Linked DNA regions of Sus scrofa. The protein of the gene in region 3 interacts with the protein of the main gene of each other region in a pairwise test. Links are inferred from orthologs where the notes say so. Each region holds a gene or a part of one and is shown on either strand. Other genes may lie near its edges. The genes, in order: MAP1LC3A, STAP1 and RETREG3.

Region 1 (3,110 bases), on a different chromosome or scaffold from region 3:
CTGGCTGGGCACAGGGCTGCACGGACCTCAGGGGGCGAAAGGCCCAGAAGCTGGGCCAAGCCCTCTAGCCAGCGTTGCCAGCAGGCAAGCCCTGGGGCAGATGAGGTTTGAGTCCAGGGTCATGAATATCTGGCACCAGTGAGGAGCCAAGGCTGGCAGCAAGGCCTGTGGGGCGGAGCCAGGAGTCTCCACCTGGCCCCCACTGTGTGGCTCTGCACACCAGGAGCCCCTCCCAAGCAGGAAAGGGGAAGAAGCAGGTGAGCAGGGTTTGTTAGGCTGTGGCTACTTAATAAATGTTTCTTTTGTTATGAAAACGTCTACCTGGAACCATGCTGCCCTCGTGGAAGAGGTGGGCTTGGCCTCTAGTACCCCCACGATGCACTATACACAGGCGTGGGTTTCCTGAATGAGCCCTGAGTCCACAGCACACAAGTCTGTGCACCAGTGAGAGGACAACGGTGGGGGCAGCCCCACCCACAGCCCTCCCCACTCCCCAAGCAGCTGGAGGCAAAGGGCCAGGCAGGCCTGAGCAATCTTTATTCTGCAAAGGGACAATGACCACAGAGCCATACACCATGTCAAGACCAGGTGAGCCAGGACCCAGTCCTTCAGGGGTGGGCAGATCCAGGCATGGGCAGCGCCTCAGGTTGGGGAGGGACAGGTGGGCAGACAGGCAGGGGTCTAAAAAAAAGACAAACCACACAGGGCAGGGGTGCTGGGGGCTGCTTCCCACTCTTCCCCCTCCCAGCCAGCACCCGGAGGGGCAACCCTAATATGACTGGGCCAGAATCCATCCAGGGGCAGAGTAGGGGTGATAGGTGCCCTCTGGCTGGGTGGCAGCATCCCTGTCCAACCCACCAGGGGCAGGGGCAGAGACAGCTTAGTTCCAGTGCCAGGAGCTCCCTGGGCAGAGCCTGACAGGGCCCCCGACTCCCAGCCAACACCCCCTACTGCTGGCTCAGAAGCCGAAGGTTTCCTGGGAGGCGTAGACCATGTAGAGGAAGCCATCCTCATCCTTCTCCTGCTCATAGATGTCCGCGATGGGCGTGGACACGCTCACCATGCTGTGCTGGTTCACCAGCAGGAAGAAGGCCTGCGTGGGGTTCAGCTGCAGGCGGCGCCTGAGGTGGGCGGGAGGGCAAGCCAAACGTGAGGGGCCTGGCCGCTGGGTGAGTGTAGCCCTCACCCCCTACCCACCCTGACTTTGATTCTCCCCCTCACACCCATCCCAGCCCCTTCTAGAAGCTCTCACCTCTGACAAGATACTGATCCCAGGCCTGACCTTGACCGTTCCCAACCTCCCCAGAAGAGGGCTTCGGCACCCCGTCCCATGTCCCACCCCCACCCCTTCCTTCTCAGAAGGACCCAGACCAATGCCTGATCCCAGCAGGACCCAAGTCCCCCTCCTGACAGCTGCTGCCAGCGCACCGGATGATCTTGACCAACTCGCTCATGTTGACATGGTCTGGGACCAGGAACTTGGTCTTGTCCAGGACTGGCAGCTGCTTCTCACCCTTGTAGCGCTCGATGATCACCTGGGAGTGAGGTGGGGCGGGGACGCGTGAGCGGGAGGCTGGACCTGGGGCCAGGGGACGGGGGCGGGGTATGCGGTAGGACTCACCGGGATCTTGCTAGGGTGCTGGTCGCGGATCTGCTGCACCTCCTTACGGCGGTCGGCTGCAGACAGCAGTCGGGGATGAGGCCAGCCGAGGTTCTCCTTGGGTTCCGCCCCACTAGTCCCCGAGGGGCGGCCCCCGACCCCGCCCCGCCCCCCGCCAAGCCCCAGGCGGGTGGAGGTAGGGCCAGGGCCGGGGCACAGCACTGGGATGGGAGGCGGAGGCCCGGGCCCAGGCCCTAGCCTGCTTCCCAGCCCAGGGGTCCAACCCGAGCTTGACGTCATGAAGCTGACGTCACCTGCGGCAGACAAGTAGATCTGCCAACACCCCCGACCCCCCCACGCCCCCACCCCTAGCGCTCGCAGATCGCCAGTCGGGCCTCACCGAAGCTCCGCCGCTGCTTGAAAGGCCGGTCTGAGGGCATCGCACAGGCCCGGCGGAGCGCGCAGGCCGGGGCTCCCGGTCGCGCGAGGCGGGGAGGTGGCTGTGGTTTGGGGGCTCCGGGGGCTCCGCGTCTCCCGCTCAAGGGCTCTGGGGCTCGCGCTGAGCCCAGCGGCGGCGGCTCGGGGAGGTAACTCGCCCGGGTGACGTCAGGTCATAACATTCCTTAAAGGGGAGGCCAGCGCGCCGTTCCCATTGGGCCGACGCAAAATCTGCCCGCCCGGGCCCGTGACATCACGGCGCAGGGAGCCTGCATTCCCGCCCCCACCCCCAACCCCACACTGCGAAGGAGGGGAGGCGCCCAGTGAGCGTCACAGTCCTGTGACGTCACGGCCTGTGCAGGGGCAGGCGAGGTGGGCTCCCCCAGGCCCAGGGTGAGGGGAGAATGGACGCCAGCAAGGCCAGGGAGCAGGCTGGCTGGTCTGGCGGTGGGGAGAGCTGGCCAGGCTGCGGCATAGCATCCTTCTGTTTCCACTGTAACCAAGGCGTCAGACAGCCCTCGCTCAGAGTCTTTTCTGTTCCAGGGACCGTATGAGGCATTGGGGATGACAACAGTGAACCAGAAGTCTTCATCCTGGAGCATATGGTTAGAGAAAGAAAAAGGTAGTGGTCATTGTGGGGGGTTGGGTGAGCATTAAAACATGAAGACAGCAAGACACTGAAAAGGAACCTAGAGGTTTTAGAAGGAATTTCTAGAATTGAAAAACAGCTACTGAAATTCAGGTCTCAGAAGGACGAGGCAAGCAAGCCCTGTTAGATATAGCAAAAAAGAAAATCACTGAAGTGGATGAGAGAGCAGAAGCAATTACCTGGAAAACAAACCATGTTTACATGGTATAAAATAAGTGACAGAAATGGCAAAGTGAGAATTCACAGGTCTAATTAGCATTCCAGAAGGAGAGAAAAGACCGTGAAGCTCTGGAGAAAAACTTCCAAAATTGATTAAAAACCAGGATCCTCATATAACATCCAGAACAGAATAAATAAAAACTCATCTAGACACTCTGTAGTGAATTTGCCCAACTCTAAGGAGAAGAAATTAGAAAAATGGTA
Region 2 (3,749 bases), on a different chromosome or scaffold from region 3:
TCACTGCCTTCATTGTAGTATGATTTGGTAGTCAGTATTTTTATTTTCCAGTAAAAAGATCTCATGAGCAGAAACCTGGGACTCCTAGAGGTTTCATTAGTGGAGAGCATGTTTCTGAGCAGCTTCTGAACAAATTTTCCTTCCTTCCTAGGGCCACACCTATGGCGTATGGAAGTTTCCAGGCTAGGGGTCGAGTCGGAGCTGCAGCTGCCAGCCTACACCATAGCCACAGAAACACTGGATCTGAGACATATCTGCAAACTTTGCTGAACCTTGTATCAACACTGAATCCTTAACTCACTGAATGAGGCCAGAGATGAACCTGAGTCCTCTCGAATACTATGTTGAGCTGTTTACCTGCTGAGCAAAGCTTTCTTAACAGGTTGATCATAGATCTGGGGTCTTCACTCCTCACTATGGCTCAGCCAGACACCGTCATTTTAGCTCCTGCCTCAGCTCACTTATGGGTGGTGTCAGGACCTACTTCCTCATCAACCGCTATGTCCGAAGACAGGAATTGGGTCCTCAAAGTGAAACTTTGCCATCATATCTTCCATGAATTTCTGCCCTCCAAACCCAGGTTCCACTGTCATAACCAAGGTGCGAAATACTCAAGTGTAGTTCCTGGTTTGGTAGCAAGGCCAACCTTCCTTCCATTCTCCTGAATGTCTTTAATCAAAGCCCCAAGGTCCTCAGTAGACTCAAGATGAAACATGTATTGACTGGTGCCTGCTACAGCCATTGGCTTTACCCAGTGTTCTGGCCTGGATACCATCATGTGCATGTCAGAGAAATGGTCCTGGCCAAGATGCCTTCAGAGCTTTGTATCAGAGCTTTGCACCACAGTGTGACCAAAGGTGATGCTGGGAACAAAATCCTGTCCATTACCTCCAGGTGCAGATAACTGGCCCCAGAGTCCAGCAATCCAGGGCATTTGGCTCCTAAACTGGCCAGGTTGCTTTTGAGGGTGGATAGCCAATCTTGCAGCTGGACACCATGGTGCTGGTTTCCTAGAGCAAATTACCCAACCCATATAGCTTCTTTGATCTGAACCAGACTCTGGTCAAAATTCACACATTGCATTTGGTTTATGTGTTTCCCTCTCTTGCTCTTAATTTCTCAAGTCAAGTTTATTGAGGTATAATTTACAGCAAAGGTCACCCTTTTTTTAGGGGCACAGTTCTAAGAGTTTTGACAAATACATGGAGTCATATAACCACCATCATCATCAAGGCATAAATTATTTCCATCACTGCAAAAAGTTCCCTCCTGGCTCTTTGGAGTCAATATCTTCTTCCTCATCTGGCCTCATGCCCTGGTAAACAATATCTCTTTCTGTTCTTACAGTTTTATGTAGTCACATACGTGCACTGCTACAGCAGATAGCCTTTGATGTCTGGCTTCTTTCAGATGAAACTTTTGAGGTTCATCTGTGTTGTTGTGTGTCAGTAATTTGTTTTTGTTGCTGAGGAGTATTCCATAGTGTGGGCCCACTATGACTTATTTATTCATTCACCAGTTGATGGACATATTGCCAGATTAAGTCAATTAGAAATAAAGCAAACTTTAAGTTGTGACTGCAGCTATGTTATAATCTCTAGAACAAATTTATTTATTTATTTATTTATTTATTTTTGGCTGCGCTCAGGGCATGTAAATGTTCCTGGGCCAGGGGTGGAACCCATGCCACTAAGTGACCCAAACCACTGCAGTGATAATGCTGGATTCTTAACCTGCTGAGTCACAAGGAAACTCTACAGATTGATTTTTTATTTATTTTTTATTTTTTTGTCTTTTTGTCTTTTCTGGGGCCGCATTCGAGGCATATGGAGGTTTCCAGGCTAGGGGCCTAATCAGAGCTGTAGCCACTGGCCTACGCCAGAGCCACAGCAGCTCTGGATGTGAGCCTTGTCTGCGGCCTACACCGCAGTTCACGGCAATGGAGGATCCTTAACCCACTGACCTAGGCCAGGGATCAAACCCAAAACCTCATGGTTCCTAGTCGGATTCGTTAACCACTGTGCCATGACAGGAACCCCCAGACTGATTTTTGAAATGTCATGGTAAGGTCTAAAATGTTCTTTAATAGAGGAGTTCCTGTCAGTGGGTTAAGGATCCGGCGGATCCCTTGTTGCTGTGGCTCTGGCATAGGCCGGCAGCTGCAGCTATGATTCGACCCCTAGCCTGGAAACCTCCATGTGCTGCGGGAGTGGCCCAAGAAATGGCAAAAGCACACACACACACACACACACACACACACAAAATAAATAAATAAATAAAATTAATTTAAAAAATAAAATTAAATTAATTTAAAAAATAAAATAAAATAAAATGTTCTTTAATAGAATTTTACTAATCACAAATTTGAAATTATCTACAACATAAAATCATAAATAACTAAAAGTTTCTACTTCTTTTTCAAGTTAAATTTCTGTATACCTTTTCCTCCATATACACACTAATACACATAATTCATAAATACATAAACACACACATACCACTTACCTAGGTGCAAGTCAACTGTCATAGCAGTTCATTAAGATTGATCTTGATGTATTTTGGATGTAAAGGGATCTGTAAGGACAAAGTCTGGGTTTTATAAACATTACTCCATCAACTAGCAACCTTATTTTAGGATGCCAAAAATGTGGTGGAGCTATGAAGTATTACGACAGATGCAGAGAGCACTGAAAATTTGGGGTGATGCGGACTCTCCGTAACTTTTTGTTTTCATAAGGGTGCTGCTCCATTTTCTCCCTAGAACAAACCAGTTCATTGCCAACACCCCCTGCATTGCATACCAGTATATGTCATCACATTTCAGGTTCCTCAAAATGCCTCTGAGAATTACTATTTCCAGTAATGGAGGGAAGATGATTGTACATATGGAACTTTACTTCTGTGATTGCACTTGCTAAAAGTTCTCATGGAAAGGTAAAAAGAGTACAGTGATTTAGTGCTCAGTTCTGGAGTCAGAATCCAGGGGTTCACCCCCAGCTCTGTCATTTAATGGGGGTGTGATCTTGGGCAAGTTACTTACAGTCTGTCCCAGTTCTGTTGTCTATAAAATGTTTTCTCATAGGAATGTTCTAAAAATTAAATAGGTTACTGCATGGAGAGTATTTAGGGTAGAACTTGCTGTACACTATGTGCTCAATAAATGGTAGTGTGTGTTATCTATTCCAAATCTGAGACCAAATTATATAATGTAGCACAGTTTACAAAACTTCTACTAGGTCAAGTCTAAAAATCTCCATAATAACACTCATAGCATTATTTATTGAATTCTTGCTATGTTCTAGGCATTTCTACTAGGTCTTAAAAGGAATTAATCCATATCTCAACAACTTTAATGTTATTCCCCTTTTAAAAACAAGAGAATCGAGAAAGTTATAGTTTAATTAACCTGCCCTTTATATTAGTGGAGTAGAGTGGAAGCCAGGGTTGCCTGATTTCAAAGTTAACTTTTAATCCCTCTTCCCTAAAAAAAAAAAAAAAAAAAAAAACTGAGTAGGCGATGACATTTGTTAAAGCATTACAAGTTAAAAAAATCTATTTGCTCAGCTCTTGAAGCTCTTTTTTTTTGTCCTTTTGTCTTTTTAGGGGTGCACCTGTGGCATATGGAGGTTTCCAGGCTAGGGATCTAATCAGAGCTACAGCTGCTGGCATACACCAGAACCACAGCAACGTCACATCCAAGCCCCATCTGCGACCTATACTACAGCTCACGGCAACGCCGGATCCTTAAC
Region 3 (3,749 bases):
TTAGAAAAAAGAATTTTTCTTAGCTCATGTCTCTCTCTTTCTACACTCTTACATCCTCCATCTGGCTTCATCTCTCTCTAGGAAATCATAAAAATGGGGTTCTTCTGCCAGGGAGTAACAGCAAATGACCTGGGAGAATCCGCTGGCCCAGTTGTTGCCAGCTCCTCCTCCATGCTCCGACAGGTAGATGTTCTCTGGGTTGTAGAGCTTGGCATAGGGGGAATTGAGGATGGAGTGGATCACCCGCGGCTCCAGGTCCAGCAGCACCGCCCTGGGGATGTAGTGCTCATCATCCGCCTGTCAAGGGGAGTCCAGGAGGGGGCACAGTCAGCTCGGCCCGCCCAGTCTTCCAGTCCTCCCAACTCTGGCTCCTGCTCGCCCTCCCTCCTCAAGCCAGCCGCCCTGGCCACTCTGTTCAACGGGTTTCCTAGTACCAAGCCACTGCCCTTCCCTTCGGGCCCCCTGGGCCACTGCCAGCCCTGGTCAAGTTGCTGGGGGCACCTGGTAGAAGAAGACGTCCTTGCGGTCAGTGCCCTCGGTGGCGAACTCCTCCACGATGCCCTCGGGGCTGATGCCATGCTCGGCGCACAGTTGTTTCCAGAACTCGAACCCAACTGGGGGTGGGGGCATAGGCAGGCGGGGGAGAAAGAGGATATCTGGTTCTGGGCAGGTTCCAACGAGAAGCTGGGGGCCTGAGCGCCTGGGACCAGGGATAGGAGGTCAATCCTCGGGGGTATCCCGTGTCAGAGGACAGGGCTATATGTCAGGGACCCCGCAGGGGAGGGCCTTTCGGGGTTGGGCAACTGGGCACTGGGTCAGGCATGTCCCGCCTTCGGAGAACTACGATTCTGGGAAGGGCAGATGGAGTCCAGGATCTCAGAGCGAGATACCATAGAGAATAAAAAACCTGGCTAGTGGAAGGACCGGAAGTTCGCTCACTCTGATTGCCGCACTGGCCCAACTGTAGGGTGATGATCTCCCTCGGCATCGCTCCTCAGGCGCGGGCCTTGCAGCAGCTCCCGCCAGCAAAGCCGCCACTCGCTAGCCCGCTAGCAGCACGACGCAGGCGCCAAAACAACCTGCTCCGCCCACGAACTCTCTCGGTTCCAATGAGAAGTGAGTTCTGGTGATGGCACTTCCTTATTCATTCGGCCTCAGTCTTGCAGATTGCGCGTGCGCGGCTCCGGATTGGTGCACTCGGGACGTACTTTGACGCAGTTTGCTTCCCACTGGGTGGACGCGAGCTAGAGCCTAGGCGCAGGCGCAGTGTTGAGGGAAGCGGCCTCCCCAGCCGAATCGCGCACCTGCGCAGTCGGCGTTATTGTGACTGTCGGGCCGTGGCCCCGGATGTTGTGGCTGCCGGGGGGAGATGGCGGAGGCAGAGGGGGTAGTTGTGGCCCCAGGCCCTGCTTCGGGGCAGAGTTCCAGAGGCCGCCGCACTATGTCGGGCTCCTGCGAGCGGGACCAGCAGGTTGAGGCGGCGCAGCGGGCCCTGGTGGAGGTGCTGGGGCCTTACGAGCCTCTGCTGAACCGGGTGCAGGCAGCCCTGGTGTGGGAGCGGCCAGCCAGGAGCGCCCTGTGGTGCCTGGGGCTGAACGCGGCTTTCTGGTGAGAGAACTGGATCCTCGGAAACCCTTCGAGGCGCGAAATCATCAGGTTTCTCTAGGGCTTTATCTCTCACCTCTCCTGTTTCTTCGCTGCACTGACTCCTTCCTGTACCTGCCTGATTTCTGCCTCAACTCCTTCCACTCCGTCCCGCGTGCGGCTTTGGCACCGCAGTTCTCCCCAGAGCCTTCCAGTGACCAGGAGCTTCTAGTAACCTCTTGAGCCGCTCGCAGTGAGTGAGGGCGCCTCGTTTTAGCCAGGGGAAAACTGTGTTCCTTTAAGGCCATCATTTCTCTTCTCTTGTTTGCTCAAAGGTGCTTTGAAGATTGTCTCCAGAGATTTTAGTAGTTATTATTTGGATAGATGTGTGAGGCGTGAGATCTTCAGCGTGAGATCTTCAGAAGGTATGCATAGGTGTGATGCGAAAACAAGTTTGAGCAATCTGAATTAGCATGTTAGACACCCTTTCTCTCACTCGGGGAAGTTTGTGAAGCCTGAGCGTCAGTAAGAGCCTCCATAGCTGCAACGTGAGAGAGAATTATGAGCCTTTAAAGAACAGTTATAGAAATAATGATTGTGAGATTTCACTCATTTCAAAGCCACTTATGATGGCCACTCCTCCCTGTTCCGAGGAATTAGAGAGGCATCCTTAGCCACAGTATATAGGCAGGGAAATTGAGGGTGTCTAAGAGTGTATGTGAGTTTTCCTGAGCTGGAAAAGTGGGGATGTAAATATGCTTTAAGAATCTGTATGTGTCATGCTCAGTGAAAATGGAACTGCTGCTTCTCTGAATTGTCATCACCTAAAATGGACTTTGATCTTCATAGGGTCTGCCAAGCATATTTTGGATTTATCCATAACTAGGGAAGTATTATTGATCAAATTCCAAGGAAACTGCAGTGGAGGGGGGCTTCTACAGCTGAATGAAATAGAGCTGTTCTGGATGAGCGTGAAACAGTAAAGTGTGTATTTCCAAATTCTTTTTTGTTTTTGCTAAAAGTAGCTTTCCTCTTGAAATTCTTGGTTTTAAAACCAAAACATTTATTATCCTTTGTCTGAAAGATTCACAGTAGGCTGGAGGAAAGCAAATAGTCCCAAGTTCATTGACAGCAAGACGCAGTATTGAGCTATTACATTAAACTCACAGTTTGAAGGGGTCTGAGGTTAAAGGTGTCACAGCAGTCTCTGGCATTAGTTGCTTCTAGAGTCTTGCTCAAACTTGATGAACTCTTCCTACAGCATTCAGTTATTTTTGGTAACGCTTCTTTCTTGATCTTCAGGTACCTACTCCTGAACCCCGTCACTATAGCACCTCATTCTAGAGCATCTTTCAAAATGACCTTTTCTTCTCATCTCCCTATCCCAACCGCTAACCTCAGACCATATAGTGAAAACTTCATTTCCTACATTGGGATCGTACTCCTAGGAAAAAAGGTTGATCTTCAGTAAACCAGTTTGTCTCAAAATGTGACTGATTGATAAACAAAAGCTTTATCAGGATTTAAATGAATCCTGATAAACCAAGAGCTTATTAATGCAGATAGGTCAGTAGCATACATGTTGTTATTTTTGAGGAGAGGACTTTCCACCCTTGCCTGAGAGAGATTTTCAGAGTAGAGTGTGGGGTTGAGATCTGCACATAGGAGCCCCCAGACACATCTTTAAATGTTACTGTTACCTTTAATTTGCTGGCCTCCAATAGTATTCACTTGAGTTTACTAATAGGCTATGTTTAGAATCTCACTCAGATCCACTTTTTCTACTCTCTCTTGAAGCTGTTGTTGTGGTTGGTCTTTATCTCTGGCATTTCCTGGTAGCTTGCCTGCTGTGTATACGGAAAGCAGTTATTCTTGTTACATTCCCATCCGGCTCTAAGCAGGTGGGGGAGAAATGCAGCAAAATGAGGGTGTGACTCCTGAGAGTTGAAGAGCAATTGTGTATGTCATTTGTGGAGAGGACTCACCTGTGAAGGGGACAGAATGATTGGCAGTGTTAAGAACCCAGAGGCTAGGGTAGTTTAGCATTGGAGTTCACAGGATTGTTTGTTTTAGGAAATGAGGTTCTGTGGAAGGTAGTTTGAGGTTCAAAATAGAAGTTAGACTTCAGTTTCCAGTAGCATCAAATTGGATATGGGGCTTGATGT

What was found.
Region 1: the proteins of RETREG3 (region 3) and MAP1LC3A interact in binary tests that used the Homo sapiens proteins (3 or more experiments, as listed by UniProt). The link is inferred for Sus scrofa from reciprocal best matches to the Homo sapiens genes RETREG3 and MAP1LC3A.
Region 2: the proteins of RETREG3 (region 3) and STAP1 interact in binary tests that used the Homo sapiens proteins (3 or more experiments, as listed by UniProt). The two-hybrid records come from large-scale screens. The link is inferred for Sus scrofa from reciprocal best matches to the Homo sapiens genes RETREG3 and STAP1.

The regions. Positions count from the first base shown.
Region 1 is NC_010459.5:37,956,912-37,960,021, reverse strand, and holds MAP1LC3A (microtubule-associated proteins 1A/1B light chain 3A), read right to left. Parts: upstream 2,193-3,110; 5' UTR 2,041-2,192; coding exon 2,001-2,040; intron 1,678-2,000; coding exon 1,622-1,677; intron 1,536-1,621; coding exon 1,429-1,535; intron 1,122-1,428; coding exon 959-1,121; 3' UTR 517-958; downstream 1-516. UniProt on the Homo sapiens protein: Ubiquitin-like modifier involved in formation of autophagosomal vacuoles (autophagosomes). While LC3s are involved in elongation of the phagophore membrane, the GABARAP/GATE-16 subfamily is essential for a later stage in autophagosome maturation.
Region 2 is NC_010450.4:65,317,843-65,321,591, reverse strand, and holds the start of STAP1 (signal-transducing adaptor protein 1), read right to left. Parts: upstream 2,732-3,749; 5' UTR 2,506-2,731; intron 999-2,505; exon of another isoform or gene 293-998; intron 1-292. UniProt on the Homo sapiens protein: In BCR signaling, appears to function as a docking protein acting downstream of TEC and participates in a positive feedback loop by increasing the activity of TEC.
Region 3 is NC_010454.4:20,219,735-20,223,483, forward strand, and holds the start of RETREG3 (protein FAM134C), read left to right. Parts: upstream 1-1,258; 5' UTR 1,259-1,369; coding exon 1,370-1,608; intron 1,609-3,749. UniProt on the Homo sapiens protein: Endoplasmic reticulum (ER)-anchored autophagy regulator which exists in an inactive state under basal conditions but is activated following cellular stress.